Linked DNA regions of Xenopus tropicalis. Each later gene encodes a partner of the first gene's protein in a complex. Links are inferred from orthologs where the notes say so. Each region holds a gene or a part of one and is shown in the gene's direction. Other genes may lie near its edges. The genes, in order: rims2 and unc13a.

Evidence for each region.
Region 2: the proteins of rims2 (region 1) and unc13a are in contact, whole or in part, in a crystal structure (PDB 2CJS), measured with the Rattus norvegicus proteins. The link is inferred for Xenopus tropicalis from reciprocal best matches to the Homo sapiens genes RIMS2 and UNC13A. Residues at the interface, in XP_063118965.1 of Rattus norvegicus: Asp102, Gly103, Cys104, Ser109, Gln112, Val123, Leu125, Ser127, Asn128, Lys129, Val134, Met135, Trp136; in NP_074052.2 of Rattus norvegicus: Tyr23, Ile36, Trp65, Leu69, Ile70, Trp71, Asp72, Thr73, Met74.

Annotation. Positions count from the first base shown.
Region 1 is NC_030682.2:132,098,041-132,100,728, forward strand, and holds part of rims2 (regulating synaptic membrane exocytosis protein 2), read left to right. Parts: intron 1-316; coding exon 317-456; intron 457-974; coding exon 975-1,193; 3' UTR 1,194-2,688. UniProt on the Homo sapiens protein: Rab effector involved in exocytosis. May act as scaffold protein. Plays a role in dendrite formation by melanocytes.
Region 2 is NC_030677.2:98,801,774-98,805,611, forward strand, and holds part of unc13a (protein unc-13 homolog A), read left to right. Parts: intron 1-155; coding exon 156-208; intron 209-366; coding exon 367-445; intron 446-1,395; coding exon 1,396-1,401; intron 1,402-3,759; coding exon 3,760-3,831; intron 3,832-3,838. UniProt on the Homo sapiens protein: Plays a role in vesicle maturation during exocytosis as a target of the diacylglycerol second messenger pathway.

The DNA of each region.
Region 1 (2,688 bases):
AAAGCATTAGCTAATGAATATTCTCCCCTTCAGTTAAAAACACATGAAAACAGGCGCACTCTTATAGTGTAAAATCAAAAGTAAATAGTTTAATACATAAAAGTTGCACTTGCAATTGTTGCAGTACAATACGAATCAATCAATGAGGCCCAACGCGTTTCGTCATCAAGTGACTTCCTCAGGGGAATCTCATATCTATCATAGATAATCATTATTTTAAATGTTTATGGGGTATTTTTGCATTTGTTGCATATTGTAAGCATTGGCGCAGTAGATTGCTCCTCAGTCACTTCAATCTGTTTCTCTTCCTTTCTAGCACCCTATGTTAAGGTGTATCTCTTAGAAAATGGAGTGTGCATAGCCAAAAAGAAAACAAAAGTAGCAAGAAAAACGCTGGAGCCTCTATACCAGCAAGTGTTAGCGTTTGAGGAATCACCACAAGGGAAGGTCCTACAGGTAAGGTTCTAACATTGATTAGCAAAGTAGCTCTGTAACCCTCCTCCTGCTTGTCTGTCTTTCTGTCTGTCTATCTGTCTATCTTTCTATCTATATCTATCATTCTATCTGTCTATCATTCTATCTGTCTATATCATTCTGTCTATCTGTCTGTCTATCTAACGTTCTATTTTTCTATCATCTTTATCTGTCATTCTATCTATCTGTCTATCTATTGTTCTATCTATCATCTATCTATTTATCTCTCTGTCTGTCTGTCTAGCTATCATTCAATCTCTATCTATTTATCTGTCTGTTATCTTTCTTTCTCAGTATATCTATCTCTATCTGTCTTTCTAGTCTCCATTGAGTTAATGTTCTGGTCTATTATTTTACTATAATTGGACATTTTTCCCAAGATCCCTTATCTTATGTTAAACGATAAGCTACTTGGATCAAATTCCCAGTAAAGAACTGTTTTGAGTGCAGTGTTGTTACTGTTTCGCTTATTATCTTTCTCTTTTCCTTTGCTCCATCAGATCATTGTTTGGGGTGACTATGGACGCATGGACCACAAGTCCTTCATGGGGGTGGCTCAGATACTTTTAGATGAACTGGACCTATCCAGCATGGTGATTGGATGGTATAAACTTTTCCCCCCTTCATCTTTAGTAGACCCAACGTTGGCTCCACTCACTAGGAGAGCTTCCCAATCATCTCTTGAAAGCTCCACGGGACCTTCTTATGCTCGTTCATAGCATCTGTGAAAAACAACTTGTCTGTGCAACCAGCGTTACAAAAAATGTAAAATCTCAACAAAACAAAAACAACAGGTCGCAAACCCTGGTAAACACTGCATGCTTAATGTTGTGTCTTCTGAGCCTGTTTCTAGGGATTCCAAGCGATCCTGTGTTCTCAGAGGAAGTTGCACACATTGTGCGCTAAAGAAGGCTCTCAGGGGAAGGAGCGGAGTTACGCATGACCAACAGGGTTGGAGACCAGAGAAGTTCAGTTCTAGTTGAATCTGAAGCCATGGATAACTGACACTATTAAAAAAAAAAGTCAATCTTTCATGCAACAAAAGTCATAATCAATGACATGTCATATTGTTGCTAGTTTTTTGGGTTTTTTTGGAAAATGTATTTCATTTTTGTATTTGACCCCAAAGACCGGGTAAGCCGAAGAATGAGATCTAAAGCAAGCAAAGCAGAAAACTAGGAGACCACAGGAGAAAGAGATGGCCCAGTGTTATTAAGGACAGTCGTTACGAGATATTACACAGCCCATTCGCTTTGGAAAGGTTGGCGACGCGTTTAACGCAACGAGCCCACCGCGCAAGATCTCTCCAGGGAAGATTTTTTTATTTCTGTGGTTATTCTGTACTGTATGAAATTTAAAGAAAAATTATATATATATATATATTTTTTTTTTTTTTTTGCATGGACATGGATCTAAGTAAACACTAAAATGATTTTATTTGGGCTGCAACTTGCAAAAAAAAAAACCACACAAAAATAAACGACAAAATAACAAAAAAGAATCAGCCATTTTCAACAATTTATATGATTTTTATGAAAACAAAAAAAAAATGTCACTAGTGCATGTTATAAAAAGGGAGAGAATGCAACCGCGTGATACGATGACAACAACCACCTTTCTCATTCTTAACAACCAATCACGGTCTGTGGTTTTTTTTTTCGTTTTTTTTTTTTCTTTTTGCAGACTTATATTCGACAGAAAAACAAAACGAATCATTTATAGCAAATATTTAAAATTCTGTTGATGTGACGAGAAATAAATGTAACATATAAGATTTATTTAAATGTAAAAGGTCCAAGCCTTGTAAAGTTGAACATTTCCGTGCAGAATTGTACATTGTCCCTTTCTGTCACTTCTTCTCATCCATAGACATTTTTGCATTTTGTCCTTCCGCCCCATGTCCCCTCCCCCCCATCTGATCACTGATTCTAATGCTTTTTTGATCAAGGATTGCAGAATTTTTTCCTCCCTGCATTCTTGTATTGTCTGATAGAAAATAAACAAAAGGAAAACGTTACTGTTTTGATCCCTCCCCCTGAGCGGCAGAGAAGATATCACTGCATTACGGCCTTTTCTGATCCTCGTGGGATGCCGTATTTTCTTTCATTCAAGCATGTTGAAAAACAAAAAAACAAAAACAAAAAAAAAAAACGATTTTGCAACATGGCTTGAGAATACCTAAGGTAATTCAGCATGTATTTGTTATAGAAGATA
Region 2 (3,838 bases), on another chromosome or scaffold:
TATAAGGAATAAAGCAATGGCCAGAATCAAATGTAACTGCAAAAAAACAGTATGTATATGGCACAATGTAAAATCACAGTGTATTATAATAACAAGCATTTCCCACTGAAATGGTTTAGGATTTTGTCTTTATTTATGTTAAACTTACTTCACAGGCACGAGGTGAAGGGACTGGGGAGATGTCCAAATCCCTCTGGTTTAAGGATGGGTAAGTAAAATTTTTAGAGACTTCGCAGTTTAACAGTGCAGTACACTATATCGTACTGTATATATGTGTGTGTTAATTGCAATCTATCATATATCTATCTATCTATCTATCTATCATTTGTTTACATTTATTATGCCTATGTCTTCTTTTTACCATAGGCCAGCTGGTGGTCTTATAATTATAGACAGTATGCCAGACATACGAAAGAGGAAACCAATCCCGTTGGTCAGTGACCTGGTAAGTCTGCTCTTGGTCCTAAGCCCTACTTAAATAAACAGGTTTAAAATCAGTTGGAAGAAATGAGAATTATCAACAGCAACATAGTGAAGACTTGTCATATTAGTCATATCCAGTGAAGATTAACCAGTTTTGCTTATCTGCAACTGAAAGCATGATATAGTGTGCGAACATAGTCATCCAGCAGATGCAGATGCATACATTGCAGATGCTGGGCATATCTATCTTGGGCAATTGCTACAATTAGGATTAAAAATAGGTTTGGTATTCTTTTTGAGGTGGTGCCAAAGGTGATTCTAATGGGCCTACACAGAGCAAATAATATGGGGCAGATGTATCAAAACTCACCAACTTTCTATTCATCAGTATGGGATTTTTACAAGCATATATATATCAACATATTACCATTTGATAAATACACTTATAAAAATCCCATAGGAATAAATAGAAAGGGGATTTGTTTCTCTGTGACGAACAGAAAAATATTTATTTGTACCACAAAATAGTGTTTTCAGTAGTTTTATAATAGGTGTCCATAGGCATTCTGTAAAGCAGGAAGTTATAAATATAACAATTTAAAAATGTAATGTAAAATGGAGTGAAAATATAATAACAAGCAATGTTTTATTCCTAACTGAGGAACCAGGTGGCATTAAATATGAATCAACACACCCAGTTTTGACTGTTCCTTCTTCTTTAATTGGTGAAGGTGCTTCATGCTTCCTATAGTGTTCCGATTTAATGAATGAAATATAGCTCTCTAACTGTATTATAAAAAGGGGTGCCCTAAACCACTTTAACCATTATTGTTACTTTGCCATCCCATTCATTGTTGATTACTGAATAGACATGACTGTTTTCATATACAACTAATCCTAATTGCATAGATTTCTTTGATGGAAATGTTCTAATCATTTTGTTCCATTTAATGCTTCCTTTAATGTTCCAAGGCAATGGTAAGTAGAGGATGGCTTTGTGGCCCCTTTCCCCGCAATAAACTATGTTTATATAAAAACTGCATAGAAATGATTCTTTTTAATTCACAAAAGAAAAGAATGTAAACTATATGGTTGCTATATAAGTTGCTATATTGTAAAATTGAGTTTCCATAGCAACCAATCAGCAGGTAGCATTTACTGGTCCCCTTATCAAAAACAAACATCTTATTAAAGGGGACCTGTCACCCTAAGAAATAATTACAAATTGTTATTTATTGTGTTTGTCAAGCAAAATAACCTTCACTTACACCATATAAACAATATAAATCTGGTTTCCTTCAGTCGTCAGGAATTCACAATCACAGCAAGCAGGCAGCTGCCATTTTGTGGGCATTGTTATAAAGACAAGCTTTGTATAACCCCAAAATCTTGTTTCTGGGCCAGAATGGGGGACCTAATACCTATGTCCATGCACTGGCTACACAATTAGATGATGAGGAGAGAGGGGAAAAATGAGTGCTGAATGAAAAGTTTAAGTAATGCTCTGCCCTGCCTCTATGCCTAAGGCATAGAGGCAGGGCAGGCAATATATGATTGACAGCTGGGATATTTAAATGCCTTTATAATGGGTATAGATGTGTTAATAACAAAAGGAATTTGGGTTTCATGTTTAATTTTAAAAGGACTTTTATTATACAGCTTTTTATGCTTGGGTGACAGGTCCACTTTAATGGGTTTTTGGGCAAATGTAGCAAGTGTTCTGGCAAACTGACATTTCTTAAAAAAAAATAATTTTTTGCATAATGAAAGAAAACATAATTCTAAGCAACTTTCCAATATGAAATAATTAAAAATTTGTAGCGCTTTAAACATTATTTGTAAATGTAATTGCTATTGAAAGCAGCATTTGCTGAACTTCTGGTTGTAACATTTTAAACAATGTTGCAAAGGTCTTGCTTCTCCAGCAAGTCAAGTCTGTAAGTCTGCTGCCTTGTGTTACATTGTTGCAACAGTCAGAGCCACCAGGGCAGAGAATAGAAAAGGACAGGCAAACACTGCTTCTAATAGCAATTTATATATACAAATAACTCAACAACCATTACAAACTTGTAATAAATGTATATTACAAAGCTGCTTAGAATTTTGGTTTCTTTTATTAGGCAAAAAATTATATTTTGCATTGCCTTGTCCTTTAAAAAAGAGCCTGGACATAAAGCACCACATATGATGCTATCTTACAAATAGTGATTAATCATCATCATTGGGTACGTGCCATCCCTCTTGCACCTTTTTTTTCTTGTTTAAGCCATACCTTGTATAAGCAGGGAGGACAGAAAGTAATCTGAGGTACTAGAAGCTCTGACATTTACATATACAGACATATATTATAGTTGTGCAAAATAATAAACATACCAGAGGATATTGAGAGATTGCTGCATTAGATAGGGGCGGTAGGAGTTTTTTTTTTTGCAGTTGTTTTAAAATGTAGCTAAATGCAGCTGGGCATGCAATAGAGCAGGGCCTAATAACAGTGGGATATGATCTGCAATAAAGGTCCTCTGCACTCACCCATTATCAACATTCTAAGGACACAAGACATTCCATGCATCAAGCCACCAAAAAAATACCCTCCTCTTTAAACAAAACATGGATTGTTTGTCAATATATTGCAATATAGGCCAGCTACGTCAAAGTCATCCCCAGTCTGGCCAGTACTACAATCACTTTCGTCTGATTCATTAAGAATTCCACTGCTTCATTATACATATTACACAGAGACTATGTTTTACCTGCAGCTTGCTTTCAAGTTTAAAATTCCTAAATAGTTGGCCTTTTATTGGCTCTACTGGGATCACCTGACTGTAGCTGGGAAGGGTGGGAGCTGCAACAAGGAGCTGGCCACTGCTACTGTATTTATTATAGCAAAAGAGGGAAAGTTGTGCTCACCACTACATTTTAAACCTTTAGGAGGGGGTGAATTTTGTGGTCACACTCTCATCGGACCCCCCTTTAAAGGTTTAACATTTAGCAGTGAACACAACTTTTCCTTTTTTGCATTTCACATGCAATTCATGTCTTCAAGTGAAAAATGACCAACATTTTGCACAACAAAAAGGTGGAAAGTCTTATTCCTAACAGATCACTTTATTAGGAAGAAATTACAAAAAAACAACATAGTTTGATATCATTATGCTCTTGAATAGTATTTTTCTTTTAAAAACTAGAAATTGCCGTATAGGTATATTCATGTTGCCCATGACCTAGTAAAAAAAACTCCCCTGTTGGCAAATATTTCAGTTGATACGTTACTTATTGTATTTATATGTCTAGTATCCATGCCTTATTGGTTCCAATCTCTCATTCATCTCACCTTAGTCACTGGTTCAGTCACGGAAGGCTGGGATTACTTCTGCTCTTGCAACAAGCACCTTAAACAATGAAGAGCTAGTAAGTA